4 linked regions of the Stegostoma tigrinum genome follow. Each later gene encodes a partner of the first gene's protein in a complex. Links are inferred from orthologs where the notes say so. Each region holds a gene or a part of one and is shown in the gene's direction. Other genes may lie near its edges. The genes, in order: mcm2, gins3, protein downstream neighbor of Son and gins2.

What was found.
Region 2: mcm2 (region 1) and gins3 share a complex: the UniProt entries of both Homo sapiens proteins name them as parts of the CMG helicase complex. The link is inferred for Stegostoma tigrinum from reciprocal best matches to the Homo sapiens genes MCM2 and GINS3.
Region 3: mcm2 (region 1) and protein downstream neighbor of Son share a complex: the UniProt entries of both Homo sapiens proteins name them as parts of the replisome complex. The link is inferred for Stegostoma tigrinum from reciprocal best matches to the Homo sapiens genes MCM2 and DONSON.
Region 4: mcm2 (region 1) and gins2 share a complex: the UniProt entries of both Homo sapiens proteins name them as parts of the CMG helicase complex. The link is inferred for Stegostoma tigrinum from reciprocal best matches to the Homo sapiens genes MCM2 and GINS2.

The regions. Positions count from the first base shown.
Region 1 is NC_081364.1:5,791,117-5,798,957, reverse strand, and holds the start of mcm2 (DNA replication licensing factor MCM2), read left to right. Parts: upstream 1-4,386; 5' UTR 4,387-4,471; coding exon 4,472-4,477; intron 4,478-7,841. UniProt on the Homo sapiens protein: Acts as a component of the MCM2-7 complex (MCM complex) which is the replicative helicase essential for 'once per cell cycle' DNA replication initiation and elongation in eukaryotic cells.
Region 2 is NC_081369.1:10,630,806-10,638,443, reverse strand, and holds the start of gins3 (DNA replication complex GINS protein PSF3), read left to right. Parts: upstream 1-4,162; 5' UTR 4,163-4,181; coding exon of another isoform or gene 4,182-4,330; 5' UTR 4,331-4,839; coding exon 4,840-5,010; exon of another isoform or gene 5,011-5,398; intron 5,399-7,638. Other genes in the region: diacylglycerol O-acyltransferase 1-like, read right to left, coding at 4,182-4,330. UniProt on the Homo sapiens protein: Required for correct functioning of the GINS complex, a complex that plays an essential role in the initiation of DNA replication, and progression of DNA replication forks.
Region 3 is NC_081365.1:23,194,011-23,202,269, forward strand, and holds the start of protein downstream neighbor of Son, read left to right. Parts: upstream 1-4,810; 5' UTR 4,811-5,050; coding exon 5,051-5,371; intron 5,372-8,259. UniProt on the Homo sapiens protein: Replisome component that maintains genome stability by protecting stalled or damaged replication forks.
Region 4 is NC_081369.1:52,205,542-52,213,118, forward strand, and holds the start of gins2 (DNA replication complex GINS protein PSF2), read left to right. Parts: upstream 1-4,425; 5' UTR 4,426-4,507; coding exon 4,508-4,597; intron 4,598-7,577. UniProt on the Homo sapiens protein: Required for correct functioning of the GINS complex, a complex that plays an essential role in the initiation of DNA replication, and progression of DNA replication forks.

The DNA.
Region 1 (7,841 bases):
TAGGGGCAATATTTTTAAGGTGAGAGGAGAAAGATTTAAAAAGGACATGTGGGCAACTTTTCTTTTACACAGACAGTGGTTTGTGTGTATGTGGACTGAACTGTCAGAGGAAGTGGTGAATGTAGGTACAGTTACAATGTTCAGAATACATTTGGATAAGTTCAGGAATAGGAAAGGTTTGGAGAAATATGGGCCAAGCACAGGAGTTGGGATTAGTTTAATTTGGGAATATGGTCATTGTGGGCTAGTTGGATCAAAGGGTCTGCTTCCATGCTGTGTGACTCTATAAACTCTAAATGGACTAAGGAATGGCAGATGGAGTTTAACGCAGATAAATTTGAGGTGTACTCTGGAAAGGGTGCAAGAAAGATTTTAAGGGTATTACTGAGACTGGAGGGTTTGAGTTATATGGAGAGACTGGATAGGCTGGGACTACTTTCCTTTGAGCAGAGAAGGCAGTGGGTTGGCCTTATAGAGGGTTATAAAATCATGAGGGGCATAGATAAGTTGAATAGCCAAGGGTATCTGCGACCAAAACCAGCAGGCATTATTTTGGAGTATATTTGTAGCTCGGGTTGTGGGTGTTTGAGGTTGGTTGGCTCACCGAGCTGGTTTGTTGTTCTGCTGATGTTTCATTACCGTGCTTGGGTAACATCCTCAGTGCAGCCTCTGATGGAGCATCAGTGTGTTTTCCCGCCTGGCTTTTAAACTCTGTGGACCATTGCGATGGATTGCCTCACTTCTGGGTTTCCTCCATAGTGGAATGTATATGGGGTGTTTATTAATAGCCTGCTACGTGGAGTGCTATGCTTCCAGGAATTCTCGTGTTTGTCTCTACCTAGCCTGTCCCAGGATCTTGGTGTTGTCCCAGTTGAAGTCGTGGTTCTCCTTGTCCATGTGGATTGAGACGAATGAGTAACCAAGCATGGTAACGAAACGTCTGTGGAACGACAAACCAGCTCGGCGAGCCAACCAACCTCAATAGCAGGCATAGTTTTACGGTGACAGGGTAAAGATTTAAAATGGGGGGCAACTTTTTCACAGTGGGTGGTGAGTACATGGAACAAGCTGCCAGAGGAAGTGGTAGGGGTGAATACAATTACTATATTTAAAAGACATTTGAATGAGTACATGGATAAGAAAGGTCGAGAAGGATATTGGTCAAATGAAGGCAAATGGGACTAGTTCAATTTAAGAAGTCTGGTTGGCACAGATAAGTTGCACCAAAGGGTCTGTTTCTGTGCTGACTCTCAAGGTTAACAGGCAGGTAAAGTTGGCAGTTAGGAAGTCAAATGCAATGCTTCCATTCATTTCAAGAGGGCTAGAATGCAAGAACAGAAACGTGCTGCTGAGCCAATTTCGAGAGTCTGGTCAGACCACATTTAGAATATTGTCAGCAGTTTTGGGCGATGTATTTTAAGGAAGGATATTATTCACTGATTGTCTTGTATATCGAAATGCAGTGAAATGCTTTGTTTATGAGCGCTAGAGGCAGATGACAGCAAGCAAAGGATGTACAGATCAAAAAGACTTAAAGGCATACAGGTTACATTGCAGGTTACATTATTTAGGGCATCTTCATTATTTGAGGCCAGAGTCCATTCAACAATCTGAGTACGTGACAAAGTTGATTGATGAGGGAAAGGCTGTAGATGTCATATACATGGACTTCAGTAAGGCATTTGATAAGGTTCCCCATGGCAGGCTGATGGAGAAAGTGAAGTCACATGGGGTCCAGGGTGTGCTAGCTAGATGGATAAAAAACTGGCTGGGCAACAGGAGACAGAGGGTAGTAGTACAAGGGAGTTTCTCAAATTGGAGACCTGTAACCAGTGGTGTTTCACAGGGATCTGTGCTGGGACCACTGTTGTTTGTGATATATGTAAATGATCTGGAGGAAGGTGTAGGTGGTCTGATCAGCAAGTTTGCTGATGACACTAAGATTGGTGGAGTAGCTGATAGTGAAGGGGACTGTCAGAAATTACAGCAGAATATAGATAGACTGGAGAGTTGGGCAGATAAATGGCAGATGGAGTTCAATCCGGGCAAATGCGAGGTGATGCATTTTGGAAGATCAAATTCAAGGGCAAACTATACAGTAAATGGAAAAGTCCTAGGGAAAATTGATGAACAGAGGGACCTGGGTGTTCGGGTCCATGGTTCCCTGAAGGTGACAATGCAGGTCAATAGGGTGGTCAAGAAGGCATATGGCATGCTTTCCTTCATTGGGCGGAGTATTGAGTACAAGAGTTGGCAGGTCATGTTGCAGTTGTTTAGGACTTTGGTTCGGCCACATTTGGAGTACTGTGTACAGTTCTGGTCACCACATTACCAAAAGGATGTGGATGCTTTGGAGAGGGTGCAGAGGAGGTTCACCAGGATGTTGCCTGGTATGGAGGGTGCTAGCTATGAAGAGGGGTTGAATAGATTAGGATTATTTTCATTAGAAAGACGGAGATTGAGGGGGGACCTGATTGAGGTCTACAAAATCATGAGGGGTATAGACAGGGTGAATAGCAAAAAGCTTTTTCCCAGGGTGGGGGACTCAGTTACTAGGGGTCATGAGTTCAAAGTGAGAGGAGGAAAGTTTAGGGGAGATATGCGTGGCAAGTTCTTTACACAGAGGGTGGTGGGTGCCTGGAACGCGTTGCCAGCAGAGGTGGTAGACGCAGACACGTTAGCGTCTTTTAAGATATATTTGGACAGGTACATGGATGGGCAGAGAGCAAATGGACAGAGACCGTTAGAAAATAGATGACAGGTTAGACAGAGGATCTTGATCGGCGCAGGCTTGGAGGGCCGATGTTCCTGTGCTGTAGGTTTCTTTGTTTCTTTGTACTGTAGGGGGCTGAGGATGCATCCTTGGTGGGGTGGGGGAGGACTCCAGAGTTGAGGGTTATTGTGGAGGAGGTGCAGTTACCTATCCTCACTGATTGTGACCTATGGGTCAGAAAGCTGAGGATCCAGTCGCAGAGTGCTGAGCTGATGCCAAGATCACGCAGTTTTGAGATCAGTCTGGAGAGGACAATGGTGTTGAAGGCGGACATTTAGTCAACGAGCACAAGTCTGATGTAGGTTTCTTTATTGTCCAGGAGCTCCAGGGATGAGTGCAGGGCTAGGGATACGGCATCTTCTGTGGACCTGTTATGTTGGTAGGCAAATTGTAGGGATTTGAGGCAAGTTTGGAGACTGGAGTTGATGTGAGCCATGACCAGCCTCTCAAAGTACTTCATGATTATTGAAGACAGCAAATGGGTGATAGTCACTGCACACACACTGCATGTGTTCTCTTGGATACAGGGATGAGAGTGGTCTTCTTGAAGCAGGTGGGGACTTTGGCTTGTAGGAGGCAGAGGGAGGGAGTCCAGAGGAGGTTTACAAAAATGATCCTGGGATGAGGAGTTGTCAAGAGTTTAGAAGGGTTGGGTGGAATGGGAACCTCATCTAAACTTCCAGAATCCAGTGGTCTGGATAGAGTGGACATACTTCCACTAATAGGACAGGCTAAAATGCAAGTATAACAGCAGAGTGAAAGAAACAACCCTTTAGAACAGAGATGGAGGAATTTCTTCAGCCAGAGGGTGGTAAATCTGTGGAACTCATTGCTCCACAGAGCTGTGTAGGTCAAGTTGTTCAGTATATTTAAGATAGAGCTAGATCAGTTCTTGGTTAGTAAGGCGATCAAGAGTGAGAAGGCAGGAAAATGGGGTTGAGAATCATATCGGCCATGATCAAATGGTGGAACAGAGTCGATGGGCCTCCTATATCCTGTGGTCTTCTCTTAAGGACATTAGTGAGCCAGTTGGGTTCTCTTGGCAATGGTTATCCTCAGATTCTTAATCCCAAATTCTTTAAAATTGAACTCAAATTGCACTATCATGCATGACAAGATTTGGACCTACGTGCTGAATACGCTACCTGGGTCTCTGGTGTATTAGCCCAACAATGCGGCCCTCATCCAATAGTATTATCCCATTCCTGTGCTTTTTTAAAAATGGTCTCCTTTACAATTTGGAGACGGTCCCTAAATGTAGGGTTGATTGACGTGTGGGCCAGCCAATCCGCGAGAGGTCAGGTCCTAACGGACACCACCTACAGCCAATCACAAGCACGAGGGGCGGAATCTGAACCGCCAATCCATTCGGGAACTCAGCGTCTCTTTCCAATGTGAGCATCAGTAGCGCCCCGTCGAGAAATAATTGATGAACACCATTCCCTACAGGCTCCAGGCCGCAGACCGCGATGTTTAAATAGCAATACGTACGCCTCGTCTTCAATCGATCCATGACCCGTTACAGCCGGCGATGTCTGATGCTGTGCGCCGATGACGCAGTGCTCATTGACATGCATGGGGCCGCGGTGACGTAGAACACACGACTGGGTTTTGGCGCGAATCGGAGTCAGGTGGGTGGTTTTGGCGCGAAAAGGGGTTTAGTCCGTTTGTCGGTGAGGAGCCGGAGAGAAGGAGGCAATGGCGGTGAGTGGAAGAGAATGAGGGAGGTGTTTCTGGAGTGGGGTTAGGGGAAAGCTGCAGCTAAGAGCCCGTCAGATAAAACACTGAGGGGAAAAGTGGTTTGTGATGTTCCTCACATCCCGACCTCCGGCGTGATGATAAGTGGTAGGAGGCTCAGAGAGATCCTGAAGGGGTTGTTGTTTGTTTATATCGCACATGGAATGAGGGCGTCACTGCATTTATTGCCCATCCCCAACTGCCCAGAGGGTCAGTTGAGAACCATCCGCTTTGCTCTGGGTCTGGAGTCACATGTAGGCCAGAGATGGTTTGAGGTCCGCGAATCCCCGAAGGCAGCAGGACCGGTCAATAGGGTAGTTCAGAAGGCCCTCGGGCAACTTAGCCAAGACGTTGAATATGAGAGTGGGGAGGTTATCGTCGGTGTATAGTACTTTGGTTAGGCCACAGCCGGAGCCCTGTGTGTAGTTGCGGTCACCACATTACAGGAAGATGTGATTGCACCGGAGTGGGTGAAGAAGAAATTCACCAGGATGTTGCCTGGGATGGATCATAGAGTTGTACAACGTGGAAACAGACCCTTTAGTCCAACTCTTCTGCTCCGACCAGATATCCCAATCTGACGTAGCCCCATTTGGCCCTTGTCCCTGTAAACCCTTCCTATTCATGTACCCATCCAGATGCATTTTAAATGTTGTAATTGTACCAGCCTCCACCGCTTCCCCTGGCAGCTCATTCTGTACACACACAATCCTAAGCATGAAAAAGTTGCTCCTTAGTTCCCTTTAAATCTTTCCCCCTCTCACCTGGACCCATGCCCTCTACATTTGCAGCCCCCTAACCTGGGGAGAAAAAGGGAGGCTGGATAGCGTCAGCTTGTTTCCTTTAGAGCAGAGAAGGTGGTGGGGTTTGGAGGGTGTGCGGAACCTGTACTGTAAACAAGTGCTGGCGATCGCAGTATTCACGGAGAGACAGCAAGCTAACGTTTCAAGTCGAGATGACTCTGATGAAGTGTCAGATTCCTTCATCTGCTGTAATTTGCACCGGGGCGGGTGCGGGGGGGAATGTGATTGAGTGGTGTAAGATTGAGGGATACAAACAGGGTAGGTAGATATCAGCTGTTTCCCTGAGTTGAAGGGTCAACAGCAAAGGGACATAATTTTAATTCGTAAGGTAGAAGGTTTACAGGGATTCGAGGAAAGCAAGCTCAGAGGCTTTTTTTTGGGGCGGGGGAAGGTGTCTGCAATGCACTGCCAGGGAGGGTAGTTGACATGGGAAATATCTCAACCTTTAGAATGTATTTGGGTGAGCATTTGAAATTCCTTAACATTCAAAGTTGTCGGTCTAATGCTGAAAATGAGACCAGTGTTTTTTTTCGAGCGGTTTTTGTTGATGTAGTCATGATGGGTCAAGGACATGCTTCTGTACTGTATGATACTACATTAGAAGGGTATGTGATCCCGCGGTCACCTACTCATTCAAATTGTGACCTAGACCCCATTCTGTTTCATTGCTGCAGTGCTGTGAGGTGCAAAGTTAGCCCCACCAACCCCTTTCCTGATTGAAATGCCCATTCGTTTTGTCACTGAACCTGGGTCAGAATGTTCCAGATAATTTAAATGCTAGCTATAAATATCGTAACACATCTTTTTAAAAACTGGCAGAACTGCAGTTGTTGGAAATTAAAAACAAAAACGTCACTGGCCACAAAATGTTAATTCTGCTTTCTCTCCGCAGATGTTGCCAGACCTGTTGAGTTTTTCCTGCAATTTCTAATTTTATTATCTTTCCCAAATTCCCTGAACCTAATCTCACCCAACTTCTTGCAACAATGCTACCCACTGTTCCCAATTCCTTCGCCTCCACCGCATCTGGTCCCACGGTGAGGCATTCCACTCCCAGACATCCCAGATGTCCTTGTTTGTCAAGGACCACAAATCCCACCCCCCATGGTCAAAAATGCCCCCTACTGCATCTTTTACATTCCTGCACCTCAGCCCTCACACCCCCTTCCCGCAATGACAACAAAGACAGAATCCCCCTTACTCTGATATATCACCCCCATCAACCTCTGAAGTCAAAGCATCATTCTCTGCTAATTCTGCCACCTGCAATCTGGCCCCATACCAAGACTATATTTCCCTCCTCACCCTTATCTGCCTTCCAGGACTGCTCTCTCTGTGACTCCCTTGTCTGCTGTATGCTCCCCACTAGCCCTGTTAGGTTTGTTCCATTAACTTCTCAGCCCCACCACCCCCAACACCTTTCCCTGCAACCGCAGAAGGTGCTACACCTGCCCCCACACCCCCACACCCTACCACATTAGCGGATGAGCAGGTGAACATCTGTTTGATGTGGTATATTGTATCCGCTGTTCCTGACGTGGCTACCCCTACATCAGGGAAACCAAGCAGAAGCTTGGAGACTGCTTTGTGGAGCACCTGTACTCGGTTTGTGACAAACAGCAACACCTCCGAGTCGCGATCCACTTCAACTCCCCCTCCCACTCCTTGGACGACATGTCCATCCTGGGCCTCCTCCAGTGCCACACGGATGCCACCAAAATCTGGACGAACAGCATCTCATATTACGCCTGGGAACCCTACAACCGATTCGTCTCAATGTGGACTTTACAAGCTTCAAAATCTCCCCACCCCCGACCTAATCCCAAGACCAGCACCCCCCTCTCGTTTGCATCTCCTTGACCTGTCCATCTTTTCTCCACCTATCTGCTGTACTCTCTATTTTCTATCATTGCCTCCCCGTCTCTCTTTATTTCTTCCCCTTCCCCACCATTTTTGAATCAAGGTACAGACCTGAAACGTCAGCTTTTCTGCTCCTCTGATACTGCCTGACCTGCTGTGTTCATCCAGCTCCACATCTTCTTGTTATCCCCCTAAGTTAACTGAGTTCCAGTGGTCTTGCTCATTGTTAAGCTGTTCAACATTCAGGATGACAATAACGTGTGAGTGGAACTGTGCCAAACCTGAAGCAGATCATTTATTCACCTTGGGCCTTTTTTTTCTCATTCAGATGGATGTGGTTTTCAGAGGCTGGCCATCCCTGGTTGCCCCTTGTGAAGGTGGTGGTGGGGGCTGCCTTTTTGAACTGCTGCACGTCCATGTGGTGCAGGGACATACATAGAGGTGTTCGGGAGGGAATTCCAGGATTTTGAGCCAATGAGACAAAAGGAAAAGCAATATTTTTCCAAGTCTGTGAGTGAGTGGCTTGGAGGGGCACTTGTTGGGTGGAGGGAATAGAAGACAGATGATATGCCCCTGTTCTTCAAGAACAGAGGGAACAGTACAGTGCAGGAACAGCCCACCAAGATTGCTAACTCATGATGCTTTTCTAAACTAAAATCTTTTCGCCT
Region 2 (7,638 bases), on another chromosome or scaffold:
AAATGGACATCAGTTACAAGCTGGTTGCCTGAGATGGAGACTGAGAGGTCCAGGAAGGTGAGGGATGTGCTGGAGATGGCCCAGGTGAACTGAAGGTTGGGGTGGAAGGTGTTGGTGAAGTGGATGAACTGTTCGAGCTCCTCTGGGGAGCAAGAGGCAGCGCCGATACAGTCATCAATGTACCGGAGGAAGAGGTGGGGTTTGGGGCCTGTGTAGGTGCGGAAGAGGGACTGTTCCACGTAACCTACAAAGAGGCAGGCATAGCTGGGGCCCATGCGGGTGCCCATGGCCACCCCCTTAGTCTGTAGGAAGTGGGAGGAGTCAAAAGAGAAGTTGTTGAGTGTGAGGACGAGTTCAGCTAGGCGGATGAGTGTGTCGGTGGAGGGGGCCTGGTCGGGCCTGCGGGACAGGAAGAAGCGGAGGGCCTTGAGGCCATCTCCATGCGGAATGCAGGTGTACAGGGACTGGACGTCCATGGTGAATATGAGGTGTTGGGGGCCAGGGAATTGGAAGTCCTGGAGGAGGTGGAGGGCGTGGGTGGTGTCACGGACATAGGTGGGGAGTTCCTGGACCAAAGGGGAGAAAATGGAGTCCAGATAGGTGGAGATGAGTTCGGTGGGGCAGGAGCAGGCTGAAACGATGGGTCGACCAGGGCAGGCAGGTTTGTGGATTTTGGGAAGGAGATAGAAACGGGCCGTGCGGGGTTGGGGAACAATGAGGTTGGAGGCTGTGGGTGGGAGGTCCCCTGAGGTGATGAGGTCATGAATGGTGTTGGAGACGATGGTTTGGTGCTCGGGTGTGGGGTCATGATCGAGGAGGCGGTAGGAGGTGGTGTCGGAGAGTTGGCGTCTGGCCTCGGCGATGTAGAGGTCAGTGCGCCATACTACCACTGCGCCACCCTTGTCTGCGGGTTTGATGGTGAGGTTGGGGTTGGAGCGGAGGGAGCGGAGAGCTGCCCGTTCTGCGGGGGAGAGGTTGGAGTGGGTGAGAGGGGTGGAGAGGTTGAGGCGGTTGATGTCTCGACGGCAGTTGGAGATGAAGAGGTCGAGGGAGGGTAGGAGGCCTGGGGGTGGTGTCCAGGAGGAGGACTTGTGTTGGAAGCGGGTGAAGGGGTCAGTGGAAGGAGGGTTGGGTTCCCGGTTGAAGAAGTAGGCATGCAGGCGAAGACGGCGGAAAAACTGCTCTATGTCCGACCGTGACTGGTATTCGTTGATGTGTGGTTGTAGGGGGACAAAGGTGAGCCCCTTGCTCAGGACTGACCGTTCGTCCTCAGTCAGTGGGGTGGAACACCTCCGCTCAGTTCGCAACAAACAACTGCACCTCCCAGTCGCAAACCATTTCCACTCCCCCTCCCATTCTCTTGATGACATGTCCATCATGGGCCTCCTGCACTGCCACAATGATGCCACCCGAAGGTTGCAGGAACAGCAACTCATATTCCGCCTGGGAACCCTGCAGCCATATGGTATCAATGTGGACTTCACCAGTTTCAAAATCTCCCCTTCCCCTACTGCATCCCTAAACCAGCCCAGTGCATCCCCTCCCCCCACTGCACCACACAACCAGCCCAGCTCTTCCCCCCCACCCACTGCATCCCAAAACCAGTCCAACCTGTCTCTGCCTCCCTAACCGGTTCTTCCTCTCACCCATCCCTTCCTCCCACCCCAAGCCGCACCCCCAGCTACCTACTAACCTCATCCCACCTCCTTGACCTGTCCGTCTTCTCTGGACTGACCTATCCCCTCCCTACCTCCCCACCTACACCCTCTCCACCTATCTTCTTTACTCTCCATCTTCGGTCCGCCTCCCCCTCTCTCCCTATTTATTCCAGTTCCCTCCCCCCATCCCCCTCTCTGATGAAGGGTCTAGGCCCGAAACGTCAGCTTTTGTGCTCCTGAGATGCTGCTTGGCCTGCTGTGTTCACCTCTTAACTACTAGATTCAATGAGAGCTCAGGTCAGAGTTTCTTTTCTAAAACAGGAATATAAATGCAAGTTTTAGTTTTTTTTGTTGTTGATGATCAAAAGGTTTGGAAATCTTCAGCATTTATAGACATTGTAGACACTAAACCTGTATTACTTTACCATTAATGGGGCATGCCACAGTTGGACAGTGCAGTAACACTTTTTTAAAAATTCCTGAGCATATATATCAGGCATAATATGGAAAAATAATATTTTCATTTGAATAACACTGGGAAATAGCTCTACAAATGTAGGTAAAAGACTGTAGCAAAACAAACTCCTAAATATTTCACTTGTGATTTTTGCTGCAGTTGCTATAACTGAGCAGTTGTACATTAATAGTGAAATCATAGAATGCCAACAGTGTGGAAACAGGCCATTCAGTCCAACAAGCCCACACCGACCCTCTGAAGAGCATTCCACCCAGACCCATTCCCCACGCTTTCCCTGTAACCCTGCATTTCCCATGGCTAATCCACCCAATCTACACACACCAAAGACACTATGGGGCAATTTAGCATGGCAAATCCCCCCAACCTGCACATTTTTGGACTGTGGTAGCAAACTGGGAAACCCACCGGAAACCCACACAGACACAGGGAGAAGCCCAAGGGTGGAATCGAACCCAGGTCCCTGGTGCTGAAGGACAGCAGTGCTAACCAATGAGCCACCATGCCAATATTCAGGACACATACAGTGCAGGGGGCCATTTTCCATATGCTAAATCTTTGTTATATTTCATCTCACATCAGTCCTTTTTGTTCATTACCCTGTAAACTTCACATTCTCAAGTACTTGTCAAGGGTCCTTTAAAAATCACCTTCCACCACCTCTTTAATAAGTATTCCAGATCCTGATCATGCGAATAGTGTACAATTTAAAAATAATATAAAACATGGAGCCATTGTGAAGTGTGAGGAGAACTTCAATAGAATAGACTTCAAGAGGGCAGGCAGCACAATGGACAAATGGAAGATTTAGTTTAATGCAGAGAAGTGTTGAATATATTTCGATAGGAAGAGCAAGGAGAGACAATGTAAAAAAATACAATTCTAAAGGAGGTATAGCATATAGAGATCCAGAAACAGGTATCTATGCATCACCGAACATGGCAAGGACAGTTGAGCAGCCAGTTAATACAACAGTATCCTGGATTCCTAAACAAAAATGTATTGAGTACAAAAAGCAAGGAAGTTATAAAAAACCTTTATAAAACATTAGATTACCTTCAGTGTGGAAACAGGCCCTTCAACCTAACAAGTCCACACCACCCCTTAAAGCATCCCACCCAAACCCATCCCCATTTCCCCTATAACCCACATACCCCTGAACTTACTCTGATGAAGGGTCTAGGCCCGAAACGTCAGCTTTTGTGCTCCTGAGATGCTGCTTGGCCTGCTGTGTTCATCCAGCCTCACATTTTATTACCCCTGAACTTAGATGCTATTCTGCCCAAATCTAACAATCATACTTTAAGAAGGATGCAAAAGCATCATGAGTGGGTGCAGAAGGGATTAACAAAAATGATTCTGGCCATGAGGAACTTCAGTTCTGTGGATTTTGTCCTCTTCAGTGAAGATTAGGAGACTTTAAAGACAAGTGGTCAAAATCATGAAGGATCTGAACAGGTTAGCAGAATGAAACTCTTCTCACTGACACAAGAAGAATCAGCGAAAACTAAATTTAGTGCGATTGGCAAAAGTGGAAAGGGTGACTTGAAAATGTTTGCATGTAGGGAAATGGGGATCTGGAATACATAACATGACAATATTGTGGAAGTCAGATTCTATTTAAAGCCTCAAAAAGAGAACTGTATAATTATATAGAACAAATAAAAACATGCAAGGTTACAGGGAAGGGCGAGATTGTGGAACTTGGTGAAGTACGTTTGCTGAGGCCACAGATCGAATAGCCTCCTTCGGCTGTAACTATCTCATGGATTCTCCAGAAATAATGGTAACTGCAGATGCTGGAGAATCCAAGATAACGAAGTGTGAAGCTGGATGAACACAGCGGGCCAAGCAGCATCTCAGGAGCACAAAAGCTGACGTTTCGGGCCTAGACCCTTCATCAGCGCTCTGATGCTGCTTGGCCCGCTGTGTTCATCCAGCTTCACACTTTGTTGTCATGGATTCTCCAACTGGGCTGAGTGAACGCGATGACTATGCGCAAGCGCAACAGAGAATTGCCGAGAGTCACCTTGTCCTCAAACACTCACCACATTTTCCGGCGCATCTCCTCCACCAGGTCCTCGTAGAACTTGGACCTCTCGATGTTTCGCGACTTAATATGTATGTTAGAAAATCGAGGATTACTCTTCCTTCTCAACTTTGGTGAGGTGTCACGGACCTCCGAGTGGCTCGCCATTCTTGCGTCTTTCAACTCCGACCCTCACCCGCCCGTCCGCTGTGGTGTCCCCCCTCGTACCGCCAAGCGCTAGCCCAACCTTCCGCGCGCGCCCTTTCCCCCCTCAACTCTTCAAAATCTAACCGACCACCTGCCGCGCGCTGGAACTGGAAGGCACGTGGGTTCGACGCCATCGCCACAATCCCTGCCTCTCCGTTTCATCAGAAGTATATTTGTGTCTGTGTTGAAGATGGTGACGGTATATTAAATAACGGTCACCGAGATTTGTTTTCGCGGACGCTGTGAGTTTATCACGCCTTTCGCCAGTACGTGTAATAAAAGAGTACTATTTTAATAAGGCCGGGCAAATCGATTAACGCCCACCCATTACGTAGTTGTGCGAGGTCTCTACGTTCGGTCGGCTTCTGCTTAGCGGGCGGGGCGGGAGATTTGAACTGGAGGCCCATTTCCGGCGGCACGAGCCTGCCGCCCCTCCTCCTATGTAACGAACTAGTTTAGCGGCCTCCTTAATGCCGCGCGCCGATTCGTACTTGCCGGTGCCTCCGGGAGGCTTGGAGGAAAACTTCTTCAGCCTGGATGACATCCTGATGACCCAGGAGAAGATTCCATGTCGGACTGTGATGTTGCTGCCGCGCCTGGGCTTTCTAGACAAGAGCAACGAGGCCGATCTCATCCCCGAGGTAAGCGAGTGGGGTGACCGCTGTCAGGCGCGTGCCGAGCGGCAAGGAGAAGAGATCGCTTCAGTGTTTCTGGGCACTTTCAGTAGATTTGTCCACAAAACTGAAGAATAGTGGCGGTTTGACAGAAATGTTTTAACTGCAGCACCACAAGAGTGGAGCAGAAACGGCTCTGAACGTTCAGTGGCCTCTGACCCTGATTTTGTATAATCCGGGAGTTAAAATGTTTACAGTCACGACGTTTGACAAATACTAAAAATGATAAGAAATCCTTTCTGCCTAAAGGCCAGTCAATGTAGATTGACGATTGATTTGTACGTTTCGTAATAGGCGTTTTCAATTCCCGGCTGATCAGAGTTCCATCAATCCAGAGCCACTGATCTTACCTTGTTCAATCCAATAGTACATGGGGCATGAGACCAGAGTACCGCCAACAATGCTGTACTCTAGTCAGGCTGGGAAAGGGGAGGCATTGAGATATCAAGAATGAAAGCTGAAGATCCGTGTCTGTCAGATACATTGTCACATATCCTGTAAACTGTGCTGGGAAAAATTTGGGCATAAACCAAATATTGGACAGAATTGAACTTTGTAAAGAACGAATGGATGAGCAGCATTTGGACGCAGACGAATGAATTGTGGAAGATTTTCTCTCAGTAATAGTGGTATTTTCTCTGTGACTCGACAATGTCTAGTGTAAGAGAACAAGGTGCAGAGCTGGATGAACACAGCAGGCCAAGCAGCATCAGCGGAGCAGGAAAGCTGACGTTTCGGGCCTGTACCTTAAGGGCTTCTGCTCGTCTGATGCTGTTTGACCTGCTGCGTTCATCCACCTTGTTATCTCAGATTCTGCAGTTCCTGCTATCTCTGAAACTATGTCCACTGTAATGTCGCTATGCATATCCAAGAACCGACTAATTTGGAATCCGAGTAAAGAAAGGACAACGAGGATTCACTTGCAAAAGACGCTTAATTTGCTTTCAAACAGTATTTTTCAAGATAAATTCGCGAGCGTTGGCAAGTCTTTTTTTGTACAGTTGTCCACACATTTTTCGTGGCCTTTTACTACGGGAACTGTGGTAATTGAAAATCTAAAATCACACGGTGCCCTCTAAAGGGTTTCTGTCTCTTAGACTGATTAAAAGATATCTGACAGTGTAGAGTATAAACCAGCCAAGTCTGACAGAATTCGACGGAAACTCCTATTCAGAAAATGAAATTGCCAAAAACACTTGCATTGATATAGTATACTTAATAATCTCTGGCCATCTGAAAGCGTTAAGCAGCTATTGAAGTTGGTCACTATGTAAGAAACGTGACAGGCAATTAGTACACAGCAAGCTCCCACAAAAATTTGTGATAACTAGGTAAACTGATTTTTTTTGTTGTCGGTTATGGGATGAATGTTTGCCATGACAGCACGGATAATTTTTCTGCTATAATAAAGCAAAGAATTTTGGATGCTGGAAATATGAAATAACGTCAAATTACTGGAGAAACTCGGCATACATGATAGCATCTGTAGAGAGAAAGCCAAAATAACATTTCAAGTCCAGTGATGCTCCTTCAGAAGAAGGATCAATGGACTTGAAAAATCAACTCTCTTTTCTCTCTTTGCATGCTGCCAGACCTGCTGAGTTTCTCCAACAATTTCTATTTTTGTTTCATAATTTCCCTGCTGCTTGAAATAGAGTCAAGGAAGCTTTTGCATCCACGTGAGAGGCCTAGCAAGGTCTCTCCACTAATAGTACTGCACTGGAGTGTTCGCCTTTATCTTTGTGCTTAAACCCTGGAGCGGGACTTGATTGCTGCAACCTTCTGACTGTTTCATGGCTCGTTATAAGTTTAATTCTTTTTCAGTGCAAAGCATGCCACACATAATGAATACAGTTCAGAAGGAAAGGAACATGGGATAATCAGAGAGCAATACAATAAGGATTTTTAGAAATGTCTTCAACAGTAATTAAAATCTGAAGGAACAAAACTCCTCACTTTTAGAAATGAATTTTTGTGTCAGAAGTTGTTTTATAGTAATCAAGATTTGTCTCTTTCTGTTTATAAAGTGTAAATAACTTGAGCATTCTGTGGTTTCTTTGCAAAGGTTATGTATGCAGTGCTTTTTTTTTGCTAGACTTTGACATCTATTAGTGCCATATTTATATTTGGGGTCAAATCTGCACTATTGCATGGTAGTAAGGTAAGTGACAATAGTTAGTATAAAAATGCATGACAAAATGATAAACAACTATTGCAGAAATCTTGATGCCGATGTTGTTTAGTACATATGACATCCTAAATAAATTTCAGTGTTGGCAAAGTCTATGTACTCAATTGTTTGTAAGAACCTAATGTGACTTCAGCCCTATCTTTAAATTCTCTACTTCTAAAAATCTGAGGCACCTGCATTCCTCCATTCTAGCTTCTTGTGTAGCTCTGATTTTTTTTTTTAATCATTCTAACTTTGGTAGCTCTGCGTTAAGCTGCAAAGGCCCTAAGATCTGATGTTCTCTCCCTAAACCACTCCAGCTCACTACTACGTTTTCTCTTTTAAGCCACTCTGAAATTCTGTCCCTTTTGACCAAGTTCTAGGTCATCTGCTCTAATTCTTCCCCCACCACCCTGTCTCAAATT
Region 3 (8,259 bases), on another chromosome or scaffold:
CCACTTCATTTGGGGGTCGAGGATGGACCGGGTCCGCAGGGACACCATGTACAAAGACCTGGGAAATGGGGGAAAGGGCGTACCGAACGCCACCCTTGCCCTGACGGCTACCTTTGTGTGCGGCTGCATCAAGCTGTGCGTAGATCCTCAGTACGCAAACACCAAGTGTCACTACTTACTGAGGTTCTACCTGTCCCCAGTGTTGCGAAGGATGGGCTGGCCTCGTTGCCGCGGAACGCTCCGAGTAGATGGACCGTTCCATACCACCTGTCCTTCGTGGAGAAATTTTTGAAAGGAAACACCTTTGACCACAAGGCCGTCAGGCAGTGGTCAGCACGTAGTATCCTTGGGACCCTTCGGGAAAAGGAGAGGGTGGATCCCGTCATGTGCTTCCCCACGCAGACTGCCAAAGTCGTTTGGCGGAATACCTCATCGCCAGAACTTTCAAACAAGCACAAGGACATTGCTTGGCTGACGGTGAGAGGGGTTCTGCCAGTGAGATCCTTTATGCATGCCCGGAATCTCTGCGCCACCGCACGCTGCCCTCGAGGTGGCTGCGGGGGGGATGAGACTGTCGATCACCTCCTTCTGGAGTGTGCCTATGCGCAGGAGGTCTGGAGGGGGATGCAGTGGTATCTGTCGAGGTTCGTCCCGAACAGCTCCGTGTCGCAGGACTCCGTGCTCTATGGGCTGTTTCCGGGGACGCACACCGAGACCAACATCAATTGCACCTGGAGGACCATCAATGCGGTGAAAGACGCTCTTTGGTCTGCCCGCAACTTGCTGGTCTGCCAGCTGAAAGAACTGACCCCGACTGAGTGTTGCAGACTGGCGCACTCCAAGGTCCAGGACTACGTGCTGAGGGACACGCTAAAGCTTGGGGCAGCCGCCGCCAAGGCGCGGTGGGGAAAGACCACCGTATGAAATCCCTCGTCCAGAATGGAAAAAAGGGCCCTATCTGGTAACTGGGCCCAGCTGGCGCTTTCCCCAACTGGTCAGGGGGGCAACGGGAACTGTGCGGGGTGACGACTGCCGGGGTGTTTTCTTTGCTTTGTTTTTTTTCCTTCTTTGTTTTTTTCCTTCAGTTGGTGTATGTATCCCCTGGGTAACCCGGAGCGGCTTGCATGACTGGGTAGGTGTGTAAATATGTTTTATTTTTTGTACACCTTACGAATAATGTATATTTTTTCAAATAAAAAAAAGTGACGAAACGTCTGAAAACTAACCTTCCAGCTCAGCGAGCAAACTCACATCCAGAACCTCAACCTGAGCTACAAATCTTCTCTCAACCTTGAATAGTATTTGGGGCTCATATATAAGCCATAATGGAGATATCTTGGGCATGGAGTTTGAATGAGGACTGTTGAAGTAATTAAATTATTGTCAGCCAAATAGTAGGGGCATAAACAAGCCAGTATTGGAGGTCCAAAGTACGTGACTGTATTCTACAATCACAGAATCTCTACAGTTTGGAAGCAGGCCATTTAGCCCATCGAGTACCCACGGACCCTCCGATGGGCATCCCACTCAGACCCACACATTACCCCATCTCTGTAACCCTGCACGTCCTACAGCTAATCCACCGAGCTTGCTCATCGGCAATTTGGCATGACCAATCACCTAACCTGCACATCTGGAATGAGCCTTCACAAAAGAAGTCTGGAGGTTTTTGTCAATCTTCATCCCGGGTAGCTCCGTAACACGGGATTCTGTGCTCTACAATCTGTCCCCGGTACGCGCACTAAGACAAACTTCAGTTGTGTCGGGAGGATTTGGTGAAAGATGCTATTTAGCCTGCCCAAGCCTTGTTGGTCTTTCAGAACAAGTTGACCCCAACCAAGAGTTGCAGACTGGCACATTTCAATGGGGTCCAGGACTACATGTTCAGTGGCGCACTAAAGCTTGAGGCCAAAGCACAGCGGGGAAAGGCCAGTTTGAAGTCTTCCTGCTAAAGGTAAATGGGGGTCTGTTCAGTTATGGAACCCTCCTAATGTGTCAAATATATGTGAATATTAATACTGTATGTGTCGTCACTGTATTTGTACAAAGATTTTTTATGAATACTGTATATTTTTGAAATGTAAAAAATATATCTGGAGGCAGAACATAGTGGCCGTCACTACAAAGAAATTGCTTGGGAAACTGAAAGTTCGAAAGAGGGATAAATCACCTGAACCATATGCATTACACCCCAAAGGTTTCTGAAAGAGATAGCTGAGGAGATTGTGGAGGCATTGTGCAAGTATTATTTCAGGAATCACTGGAGACAGGAAGAGTCCCACTGTTTAAGAGAGGGAGGTAGAAGAAAGGACACTATATGCTATTTAGTTATTGGTCAGATTTTAGAATGCATTATTAAGAATAAGGTTGAGGAGTACTTGGAAGCTCGCAGTAAAATAGGGCTGAGTCAGCATGGCTTCAAGGAGGTGTCATGCCTGACAAACCTGTTAGGATTCTTTGGGGAGGGACCAAGCAAGTAAGACAAAGGAGAGCTGGTGGATCTATTTGAATTTTCAGAAAGCCTTTGGCAAGATGCCCACTGGAATCTGCTAAATAACAGCCCACAAAGTTAGGGGTGAGGTACTGGCATGGACAGAGGATTGGCTGACTGGCAGAAGGCAGAATAAGGTGGTCTCTTTCAAGATGGTGGCCAGTGACAAGTGGAGTTCTATAGGAATCTGTATATATTCACATTATACATTAACAATCTGGACAAAGGAACTCCAGATGTTGTTGATAAGTTTGTAGATGAGACAAAGATAACTGGTGAGATAGGTAATGTTGGGAGGCTGCAGAAGGTCTTCAACAGCTCAGAAGGTACATTCCATCTGTCACTCCTTTGACCAATGTGGGAAAGTGTGAGGTCATGCACTTTGGTACGAAGAATGCAGGCACAGTATATTTTCTAAATAGAGAAAGACTTTGAAAATCTGAAGCACAAATGGACTTGGAGGCCACAGAGTCAAACAGCACAGAAACAGACCCTTCGGTCCAACTCACCTGCACCAACCAGATATCCCAATCCCACCTAGTCCCATTTGCCAGCATTTGGCCCATATTCCTGTAAACCCTTCCTATTCATGAGCCCACCCAGATGTTTTTTAAATGTTGTAATTGTATCACACCACACTCTCTGCAGCCTGGGGCCCTGTATCTAAGGAAGGATGTGCTGGCGTTTACATGTTTACAAGAATGATTTCTGGGATGATGAGCTCATCATATTAGAGGCAGTTGAGGGGTCCCGGTCTGCATTAGAGGAGTTTAGAAGGATGACAGGAATCTTCCTGCTCTGAGAGTTTCAGGATAGTGGGCCTGTAGAAGAAACTTCCATGGCACGGCATCAGACTTCAGAACCCTTTAGAACAGAGATGGGAATTTCTTCAGTCAGAGAGTGGTGACTCTGTGGAACTTATTGACTGACTCAGAAGGCTGTGGAGGCCAAGTCATTGGGTTTTGATTAGTATGGGGATTAAGGATTAAGGGGAGAAGGCAAGAGAATGGGATTGAGATGTATATCAGCCCTGACCAAATGTCAGAGGAGATTTAATGGGCTGAATAGCCTAGTTCTGTTCCTACACTTCTTATTTCATGTCTAATTTGAACAGTCTTTGAAAAAACCTTGGTGATTTGGTAGCATGGGATATGAATATCAGCTCTTGGTTGATCAACACTGTATGCCCCCATTTTGTCCTGTATCATTCAATGAGCGGGCAGGAGATGATAATAGTGGCAAGTCAGCTTTACTCTTCTTACTTAACCACTTTCTATTTCTGAACCAATTAGTCCTCCAAGCTATCACTCACATATTTCCAATCACCTTTATTATTCAGATTAACTTAAAAGTACATCCCAGGATAAAACAGTTGCCCTGATTCTCAAGATTGATGAAACCATTGCTCTCCTAGCACAACATGCTGTGAATGTACAAGGTACAAACACTAAGTCTGCAGTGACACCAAACTGGTGTGGTAAAAAGTGAGGAAGAAAGCCTTTGAATAGAGAATGATAGAGCCAACCTGGTCTGGCTGAACTATGGTAAATGGGTCTGAAGTGTGACAATGCATTTTTAAGAGCACAAGCATGGCAAAGAAATATGTTGAACGGTGAGCCCCTAGGGTGTTCACAGAAGCCTTGGTGTGCATGTACATAGATCCTCAAACGCAGCAGAACAAGGTGAGGTGGCAAAGAAAGAATACAGGATGTAAACAAAATTGCTGGAGAAACTCAACAGGCGCGGCCGCATCTATAGAGAGAATGAAGTTAATGTTTAGAGTCCAGTAACCCTTCAGAAGTGCAGTGCAACCAGGCCTGAGTTTCCCCAGCAGTCTTTTTGCTTCAAATGTTCAGCATTCATAGTTCTTTGTTTTTACTTAAAGGAATGTGGGCTCCTTGCCTTTATTAGTCAAGGCAATGTAGACAAGGGTACGAGGGGGCTCCACGGGTCTTGAGGGAGCTGTTTTTAACGTTAGTCAGGACACAGCGCTGTGTACAGTTGCGAGCAACCCACTGCTGGAGGGATGTGAATGCACTGAAGACAACGGAGAACAGATTTACCAATATATTGCCGGGCCTGGAGCGCTCCAGCTATGAAGATAGAGACATCGGGGTTGGATGCTTTAGTGGGACACCAGGAGCTAAAGGGTATTTTTATTCCATACTATAAATAACTGCGAGAACACTCACAAAAACGCTGCGCAGCAGCTGAACGTTTCTGGAACACACTCCGACATGGGCTGCAATACGCCTGCGCGGAAATTTCACCCACCCCCATTTGGGCGGGGCCAGTAGTACGCATGCGCTCTCGCTCGGCGGGAAACCTCCAACTGTTCGTTCGCGCGAAATTTTAAAAATATTTTTCCTCCGGCCGCAGGGACAGTGATATTTCACTGATTTTGTTTTTATTTTTGAAAAGAGGAGGATGAAAACAAGGAAAGATGCTTCATTATTGCTTTTGAATATAAATATTTAAGGGGAAGGTGAAACATCTGGTTGTCCAACAATATATCGATTAATTCCTGGATTTCGCCTGATTTTTTGACCGGGTTTTAAAATGTCGGTGGCCGTACAGCTGGCCGGTTATTCGCCCAGTTTCAAGAAGCCGTCTGAAACGCTGAGGCTGAGGAAGAAGCGCGCTCGCAGCTCTCCGCGGCTCGGCCTTCCCTCGGACTCTCCGACCCCGACCGGCAAAGAGCAACCGAGACCCTGCGGCAAGCGGCAGAGGAGGGCAAGGAACCCGTTCGTCAACATCGGCAACACCGTGACCCGTCCGGGGACCGGGACCAGCTGGCCTGAGGAGTCCGACAACCCGCTACACCGCTCACTCTCCGCCCAGGAGTGGAAAGTCCCGGTCTCCGACGGCAGAACTGAATCGGCAAGTAAACGGGATGCATAGGTTTGAGATGTTGTCATCCGATTTAGAGAATGTGATTAAAGGCAGGGTTATTGTTTTAATAATCAGCGTAATGTTTAGCATGTTCCGGATCTGCAGTAGCTCAGTACTGCTGTCCTTTTAGAAGCAAAGTAATTAACTTGTTGACGCCGCTGTACATAGTTATTCCTAGACGCTGGAGGATCTGCCCTCATGGTCCACTTGCGCCATTCATACGCACCCACTTCTTTAAAAGTTACTTCCAGTTCACTGTGAGGGGTTTGAATTTATTTCTACTCTGTAGAATGACTTTTTTTTGAAAAGTTCGACACTAGGGCTTGACCGCTTGCGTTTTGGAGAACTGCTGGTTTGAAATTGTGTCGAGCCCGCAGGAGGGCAGTAGCTCAGTAAAGTAACTGGTCCCGCTTATCAATGTTCACACGAGAAAGAAATAGCCTTATCAGCATTACAACTGTTATAGGCAACGGGATGAAGATTGGCAACATTAGTGGAAAGAAGAACGAGTTAACGCGGAAACTCACTGAGCTTTCCTTTTTCTTTATTCGAGTGTCAACTACAGTCGAATAAGGTTTTCGACTTAACTGCAGGAGTTGTTGGCCAGGAGTCTAGGAAAAGACGCTGTTAGCAGTGGTCGTATCTTGGCTGATGATGTGTTTGGAGTACATGTTCCTAAATGACAAACAGGTTTCTACCTCCCGGATAGAATGGTTTCCTAGATCGTGCCCTGTTCTACGTATTGCCATTTTATCTACTCTGACCAGGAAGAGGGGCAATCAAGATGTGCCTGTATCGAAATCAACGTATTGTTAATTTCTGCACTGACTACTATCAACATTTCAAAGCCAAACACCAAGGGCATGAAGTTTCGGAAGAGTTTGGATTTCTCAAAGCTGGAACAAGCGCTCGAGGAAGAATCACATTTGCCCTTGTGCTCAACATGTGCACTCCGTTGCATTGAGGATGAGTGGGTGACTCAACAGAGGTCCTTGTCGCTACTTCTGCCACGCTTTGATTTTTAAAAACAAATAAGCAAATCCAGAATCTACTAAAGACAACGTTACCTCCTGCGTGACAAGTCATCGCTATCCAAAAAGGGCTACTAAAAGGCTTGGAAAGCTGCATGATACTTTGAATCAGCAATCAGATGATTTTCAGTCTGATGATAAAGGCTGGAAGAAATTCTACAAAGCTCTGAATTCTGTCCACTCGATGCTTCACCAAGGTTCTGAAGGATTGTCATTGCTCACTAAAACAGCCCATGTTCCCGAGAGATGAACGCGTTATGTAAAACAATTCTCCAATTGACATTCAATGAAGAAGCAGTCAACAGGTTTTCCCTGGAAGCCATCGGTGTGTCGATGCTCCCAAACTACTTAGTGACACTCAAACTGCTGTCCAGACCAAAGCTGATGCAATCCTTATTGACTCAATGTCTGATTAAGATGTTTGCTGAACTCATTCCACTTATGTGGACAAAATGGACTATCTTGCAAGCATACAAAGATGCCTTTTTCACCTGAACAAGAGAAAAGAAATGCACAAATCTTAGGGCAATCATAGCATGGTGTTTACAATGAAACCAGGCAGCTGCATAAGAAATGCCAAGAACAGAAGATTGACTTCTTTTGCACATATACTGATCTGACCCAGAACTCTAATGTTGTCAGCCAGGAAGATCTTTGGGACCTAATGGAGAAATTCAACTGCCTTAAGAAATTGCTTACAAATTTTTGGTAGTTCGAAGAACAGCATGTTCTTCTATGGATGATGATGACTCTTGTGATCAATTTCTAGTTACTAATGGAGTTAAGCAGGCTGTAGTGTTAGCACTAATTCTTGATTTTTCTCTGCCATGCTCTCTAGTCTGTGACAGATCAACTGAAGAGTGACATCTGGGTATGTAGAACATATCTGGAGAACCTTATCTAATCAAGAAACACCACTAACAACAAATACAATTTGATTATGTAAACTGTTCCTTTTTAGTTGTTAAATAGTAATCCCTGTTGAAGAGGTTGAACAAATATCTGACCTGAAAATATTGATCAGTATTCTGCTCACTTCATGATGGTCGGTTACCATTATAATACAGAATGATTTCTTGTCAGTTGCCTTTTTAGAGTGTTTGTTGCCACTGACAATGCTGCATTTTGGCTGTACCCATTTTGTATGCTGTCAAAGCCTTAACAGATAGGAATACCTTTCAGCTAAAGTTCAGGGTTTGCATGAAGAAGCAAAGTTTTTTTTTGTTTACTGACCTCTGTTCTGAGCATGCATTCTGGAGGGTGTCCAGTAAACTTTTGATTTACGTTGGCCATGTAATTATTCAGGGAAAGGATTTTTTTTTAAACTACCGATCTGCTAGATCCTGCACTCCACTCAGTTCGAACTAAATTTGAAGTGCATAGTCTGGTACCAAAATGTTGGATGATAGAACCAACAATTGGCTAGCAAAAGCAAGTTTGATTAGATTCGCTCCAGTGTGGAAACAGGCCCTTCAGCCCAACAAGTCCACACCACCCCTTGGAGCATCCCACCCAGACCCATCCCCCTATAACTCTCACACCCCTGAACACTACGGGCAATTTAGCATGGCCAATCCACCTAGCCTGCGCTTCTTTGGACTGTGGGAGGAAACCGGAGCACCCGGAGGGAACCCACGCAGACACGGGGAGAATGTGCAAACTCCGCACAGACTGTTACCCGAGGATGGAATTGAACCCAGATCCCTGGCACTGTGAGGCTGTAATGCTAACCACTGAGCCACCTTGCCAAACTTTCCTACTGGCTTTGGAGAAAGCTTGTCTCAAAGCAAGTATCTAGCTATGAGTGGATCTTGCATCATTTTTCTCTACACCAGTAGGAAAGAA
Region 4 (7,577 bases), on another chromosome or scaffold:
AGATAATGGGAACTGTAGATGCTGGAGAATTCCAAGATAATAAAATGTGAGGCTGGATGAACACAGCAGGCCAAGCAGCATCTCAGGAGCACAAAAGCTGACGTTTCGGGCCTAGACCCTTCATCAGAGAGGGGGATGGGGAGAGGGAACTGGAATAAATAGGGAGAGAGGGGGAGGCGGACCGAAGATGGAGAGTAAAGAAGATAGGTGGAGAGGAGAGTATAGGTGGGGAGGTAGGGAGGGGATAGGTCAGTCCAGGGAAGACGGACAGGTCAAGGAGGTGGGATGAGGTTAGTAGGTAGCTGGGGGTGCGGCTTGGGTGGGAGGAAGGGATGGGTGAGAGGAAGAACCGGTTAGGGAGGCAGAGACAGGTTGGACTGGTTTTGGGATGCAGTGGGTGGGGGGGAAGAGCTGGGCTGGTTGTGTGGTGCAGTGGGGGGAGGGGACGAACTGGGCTGGTTTAGGGATGCAGTAGGGGAAGGGGAGATTTTGAAACTGGTGAAGTCCACATTGATACCATATGGCTGCAGGGTTCCCAGGCGGAATATGAGTTGCTGTTCCTGCAACCTTCGGGTGGCATCATTGTGGCAGTGCAGGAGGCCCATGATGGACATGTCATCTAGAGAATGGGAGGGGGAGTGGAAATGGTTTGCGACTGGGAGGTGCAGTTGTTTGTTGCGAACTGAGCGGAGGTGTTCTGCAAAGCGGTCCCCAAGCCTCTGCTTGGTTTCCCCAATGTAGAGGAAGCCGCACCGGGTACAGTGGATGCAGTATACCACATTGGCAGATGTGCAGGTGAACCTCTGCTTAATGTGGAATGTCATGTTGGGGCCTGGGATAGGGGTGAGGGAGGAGGTGTGGGGACAAGTGTAGCATTTCCTGCGGTTGCAGGGGAAGGTGCCGGGTGTGGTGGGGTTGGAGGGCAGTGTGGAGCGAACAAGGGAGTCACGGAGAGAGTGGTCTCTCCGGAAAGCAGACAGGGGAGGGGATGGAAAAATGTCTTGGGTGGTGGGGTCGGATTGTAAATGGCGTAAGTGTCGGAGGATGATGCGTTGTATCCGGAGGTTGGTAGGGTGGTGTGTGAGAACGAGGGGGATCCTCTTAGGGCGGTTGTGGCGGGGGCGGGGTGTGAGGGATGTGTTGCGGGAAATATGGGAGACGCGGTCAAGGGCGTTCTCGATCACTGTGGGGGGAAAGTTGCGGTCCTTAAAGAACTTGGACATCTGGGATGTGCGGGAGTGGAATGTCTTATCGTGGGAGCAGATGCGGCGGAGGGTGGAGGAATTGGGAATAGGGGATGAAATTTTTGCATCTCAACAAAGATAGGGACCACTGGTTCTCACTTTCCGATTCACCGGTATCCGCATCCATAAGATCATAAGCTGCCATTTCTGCCACGTCTAGTTGAATGTCACCACTCAATACATATTCCCTCCCCTCTTTTGTCAGCTTTCTGCAGGGACCGTCCCAGCTGGGACATCCTGGCCCACTCCTCCTCCACTCCCACCATGTCCTCACATGCCCACGGCACCTTCCGCTAAAACTGCCAAAGGTGTAACACCTGCCCATTTACCTCCTCACTATCCAAGAGTCCACACACAGATGAAGCAGTATTTTACCTGTATTTCGACAATCTAGTCTACTGCATTCTCTGCTCACAATGTGATCACCCACACACTGGGGAGACAAAACACAGACTGAGCAACTGTTTTGCTCAACACCTACTTTCTTTCAATAAAAATGGCCTCAAGCTTCCAGTTGGCCGCCACTTTGACATACCACTGTGTTCCCTGGCCAATATCTTTGTCTCAGGCTTGCTGCATTGCTTCAGCAAGGCTCACCGCAAGCTGGAAAAACAGCATTTCATTGGCTGCTCAAGCAGCGCCCCCCCCCCCGGAGCCTTGAGGACTCGATATCGAATAAAGCCTGAACATCTTCTTCAATATCCTTTATCCACCCCTACAACCCAGGTCTGTCATGATAAGGGCTGCTTTCAGCACTGCCAACTCAATTTTACTCACTTATGGACCCCTTCATCAGCTTTTGATCGAGTTGTACAGTACAGAAACAGGCCCTTCAGTCCGACTTGGCCAACCGACCAGACATCCCTGTCTGACCTTGTCCCATTTGCCAGCATTTGGCCCATATCACTCGAAGCCCTTTCTATGCATGTACCCACCCGGTAAATATTTTAAATGTTGTATTTGTACACACCTCCACTACTTTCTTTGGCAGCTCATTCCATACATGCACCACCCTTTGTGTGAAAAAGTTACCCTCCAGGTTGTTTTTTAAATCCGCCCCTCTCACCTTAAACCTTTTCCCTCTAGTTTTGACTCCCCTACCCAGGGAGAAAAACCTTGATTATTCATCCTATTCATGCCCCTCATGATTTTACAAGTCTGTATAAGGTCACCTCTCAGCCTCTGATGCTCCAGAGAAAACAGCCCCAGCCTATTCAACCCGTCCCTATAGCTCAAACCCTCCAACTCAGCAACATCTTTGTAAATCTTTTCTCAAGTTTAGCAACATCCTTCCTAAAGAAGGGCAACCAGAATATACATTTTCTCCTTGCCTGGCTTACTATCATCAATCGCTTTTTCTCCTTAACTATCTGTCTCTCTCTCTCTCTCTCTCTCTCGAGTCTACCTCCATCAATGATTTTGAAGAAAACATGAACTGCAGATGCTATCTTCTTACTCCTTTAGCTTCCTCTCCCCGCCCATCTCTTCAGGTTATAAACAACTTTTCCCAACATCCATTGTTTCTATTCTGTTTTTGTCTCCACTGATGCTGTCAGACCTGCTGGGTTTCTCCATCAATTTCTGTTTTTACTTTAGACAACGTAAACATTAAGCTTGTTGGCAAAGGGGGAAGGCCTTGCAAGCAAGGGGCACGGCTTGCAACGGGGGACTGTCAAGGGGCGGAGTCTGTGCCTTGATTGGCGTAGTCTGTTACTAAGGAGGCATGGTCTTTATTCAAATAGGCCGAGCCTGAAGTGTATGGACAGGGAATGTCCTTCAAGGACCGCACCTTCCCCCCCCACAGTGGTCAAGAGTGCCCTTGACTGTGCTTCCCGCATTTCCCGGACCTCATCCCTCGCAATAACCTCCATAAGAGAATCCCCCAGTCCTCACGTACCAGCCCACCAACCTCCAGACACAATGCATCATCCTCCGACACTTCCGCCATCTACAATCCGACCCCACCACCTAAGACATTTTTCCTACCCCACCCTTGTCTGCCTTCCGCGACTCCCTTGTCCGCTCCACGCTCCCCTCCAATCCCACCACACCCGGCACTTTCCCCTGCAACCGCAGGAAGTGCTACACCTGCCCCCACATCTTCTCCCTCACCTCCATCCCAGGCCCCAACATGACTTTCCACATTAAGCAGATGTTCACCTGCACATCCGCCAATGTGGTATACTGTAACCACTGTAGCCGGTGTGGCTTCCTCTACATTGGGGAAAACAAGCGGAGGCTTGGGGACCGCTTTGCAGAACACCTCCGCTCGGTTCGCCATAAACAACTTCACCTCCCAGTCGAGAACCATTTCCACTCCCCCTCCCATTCTTTAGATGACATGTCCATCATGGGCCTCCTGCAGTGCCACAATGATGCCACCCGAAGGTTGCAGGAACAGCGACTCATATTCCGCTTGGGAACCCTGCAGCCCAATGGTATCAATGTGGACTTCACCAGTTTCAAAATCTCCCCTTCCCCTACTGCATCACAAAACCAGCCTAGTTCTTCCCCTCCACCCACTGCATCCCAAAACCAGCCCAGTTCTTCCCCTCCACCCACTGCATCCCAAAACCAGCCCAGCCTGTCTCTGCCTCCCTAACCTGTTCTTCTTCTCACCCATCCCTTCCTCCCACCTCAAGACGCACCTCCATTTCCTACCAACGAACCTCATCCCGCCTCCCTGACCTCTCCCCTCCCCACCTAAACTCTCCTCTCCACCTATCTTCTCCTGTGTCCATCTTCGGTCCGCCTCCCCCTCTCTCCCTATTTATTTCAGAATCCTCTCCCCATCCCCCTCTCTGATGAAGGATCTAGGCCCGAAACGTCAGCTTTTGTGCTCCTAAGACGCTGCTTGGCCTGCTGTGTTCATCCAGCCTCACACTTTGTTATCTCGGATTCTCCAACATCTGCAGTTCCCAACATCTGTGGGATAGGGAATGTAGTGCAGTCAGTGGGCGGGACGTGGCCGGGAACGGTGGGGATCGTAGTCAGGGGCGGGCTCCGTCGTCAAGGGGCGGATCCCTACTCGGGGCGGGGTGACCGTTGTTAGAGGCGGGGTCCGTTGTCAAGGGGCTGGGTCTGTTGTTACGGGGGCTGGGTCAGTTGTCGCGGGGGCGGGGTCTGTTGTCAAGGGGGCCGGGCCAGTTGTCAAAGGGCCGGCTGAGTGACATCACCCCTATTTCCGGTGGTGTTTGCGCGGGAAGCTGTCTCAGGCTTCAGGCGGGTGATTTAAACCCGGGAGCGAGCGGTTAAATGCGGCAATGGACCCTTCAGAAGTGGAGTTTCTCGCAGAGAAGCAGATTGTGACTATTATTCCCAACTTCAGCTTGGATAAAATCTATTTAATAACTGTGAGTGTGTTTTGTCAAGTTGCCCCCTCTTGTGGCTCATGGGCTATGATTTATATTTTAAAGCATTTTACACATGGAGCAAGTTTAAACTAAAAGGCCAGAGATTTATAATCAATGATAATAAATTATGTGTAACAAGTGCTGTAGAGTTGGAGGAAATATTTTCCTACAGCCTGTTGTTATTGGGATCAACAAAAATGTAAAATGTTTAGAGCAAGAGATCTCTGATTGTCTTCAGATTAATTTGGATCATTCCAAATCACACTGACTGACTGACTGACTGACTTTTTTCAAAAAAGGTTTGTGACTTGAAATGTAAACAAGGAAGCTCCACGTCTTGAAACATTTTAATCCTTATACTTGCTCCTAATAATAGACAATAATTAGGCAAGTGCAAATTGACAAGTTTGAAATCCAAAATTAAACAAAGGGCTGCTGATGCTGAAGATCTGAAACAAAAAACAGAAATTGCTGGAGAAGCAGAGCAGGCTCCAAACATAGCCTGGTATGCCATAGTGCTTCGCTTGGAGAAGAATTTGTTAAGTGTGCAGAAGAAAATTTACCTCTTCAGAATATGGATGTACTTACTAGAGAAATAGCAAAAATTAGTCCTTCTCTTGGGAAATAAGGCAGGTGACAGTGGGAGCTACTTTGGGGCCAGTGATCATAATTCTATTAGTCTATAAGGTTTTGGAGTAGATTTGTAGTTCGGGTTGTGGATGTTGTGGCTGGCTCGCTGAGCTGGTTCTTTGTTTTTCTGCAGATGTTTCATTACCCCGCTGGGTAACTTCATCAGTGTCTCTGATGAAGTACCGTTGTGTTTTCCCACCTGGTTTTTAAACTGGAGTCCGTTGAGCTGGATTACCTCATTTCTGGTTTTCCTTTGCAATGGCGTGTATATGGGGTCAAGTTCTCTGTGTTTGTTGATGGCTTTCTTCTTGGAGTATCAGGCTTCTAGGAATTGGAAAAGGATAGAACTGATCTAAAAGTTGAAGGTCTAAATTGGAGTAAGGCCACTTTTGATGGTATAAGGCAAGAACTTTCAAAAGTTAATTTGGATGTGGATATTTGCAGATAAAGGGATGGCTGGAAAGTGGAAAGCCTTCAAAAATGAGATAACGATAGTCTAGCAAAAGTATGTTCCACTCAGGGTGAAGGTTGGTGGGTGTAGGGAATGCTGGATGACTAGAGAAATTTAAGTTCTGGTCAAGGAAAAGAACGAAGCATATGTCAAGCGTAGACCGCAGGGATCAAATGAATCCCTGGATAAATACAAGAGCAGTAGGAGTAAACTTAAGAGGGAAATCAGGGCAAAAAGGAGAAATAAGATAGCTTTGGCAAGTAGGGCTTAGGATTACCTAAAGGGGTTCTACAAATACATGAAGGACAAAAGAGTAACTAGGGAGAGAATGGGGCCCCTTAAAGTTCAGCAAGGCCACCTATGTTTGGAACTGCAGGAGATGGGTGAGATACTAAATGAGTACTTTGCATCAGTGTTTGGTGTGGAGGAGGATATGGAAGCTAGACAACTTGGGGAGATAAATAGCAATATCTTGAAGTGTCCATATTACAGAGGAGGAGGTGCTAGATGTCTTAAAATGCATAAAGGTGGATAAATCCCTAGAACCTGATCAGGTGTGCCCAAAACTTTGTGGGAAGCTTGGGAAGCCATTTGCTGAGATATTTGTATCTCGGATAGCCACGGGTGAGGTCCCTGAAGACTGGAGGTTGCTACCATGCTGCCGTTATTTAAGAAAGGTGGTGAGGAAAAGCCAGGGAATTATAGACCACTGAGCCTGACATCAGTGGTGGGCAAGTTTTTGGAGGGAATTCTGAGGGAGAGGGATTTACATGTATTTGGAAAGGCAAATACTAATTAGGGATAGTCAACATAGCTTTGTGCATGGGAAATCATGCCTCACTAACTTGATTGAGTTTTTTGAAGACGTGATGAAGAGGTTTGACAAAGGCAGTGTGATGCGTAGTGTCTGAATGGACTTTTTAAGCCATTCGACAAGGCTCTGACTGGTAGACTGGTTAACAAGGTTGGAACACATAAATACAGGAAGAAGTAAACATTTGAATACAAAATTGGCTTGAAGGTAGGAGACAAAAGGGTGTTGGTGGAAAATGCTTTTCAGACTGCGGGCCTGTGACCAGCAGTGTACTGCAAGGATTGGTGCTGTGTCCACTGCTTTCTGTCATTTATAAAAATTACTTGGATGTGAACATAGGAGGTATGGTTAGTGATTTTGCAGATGACATCAAAATTGGTTGTGTAATGAACAGCAAAGTGGGTTATCTGAGAGTAACGGAACCTTGATCCGATAGGCCAATGAGCCAAGGAGTGGTAGATAGAGTTTAATTTAGATAAATATGAGATGCTACATTTTGGTAGAGCAAATCAAGGCAGGACTTGTACAGTAAATGGCAAGGCCCTGGGGACTGTTGCCAACAAAGAGACCTTGGGATGCAGCTTCATAATTCCTTGAAAGTGGAGTCACAGGTAGACAGGGTAGTGAAGAAAGTGTTTGGTACACTTACCTTCATTGGTCAGAGCATTGAGTATTGGAGTTGGGAGGTCATATTCTGCCTCCACAGTACATTGGTTAGGCCACTTTTGAAATACTGTGTTCCATCCTGGTCTCCCTGCTATAGTCAAGATACTGTGAAACTTGAAAGGGTTCCAAAAAGATTTAAAAGAATGTTGCCAGGATTGGGGAGTTTGAACTGCTGGGAGGGGCTGTTTTCCCTGGAGCATCAGACGCTGAGGGGTGACTTCATAGAGGTTTATAAAATCATGAGGAGTTTGGTAAGGTGACTAGTCAAGGTCTTTTCCCCAGAGTAGGGGAATCCAAAACTAGAGGGCATAGGGTCAAGGTGAGAAGTGAAATATTTGAAAGGGCCCGAAGGGGAAACTTTTTAATGCAGATGGTGGTGCATGCATGGAATGAACTGTCAAAGGATGTGGTGGAGGCTG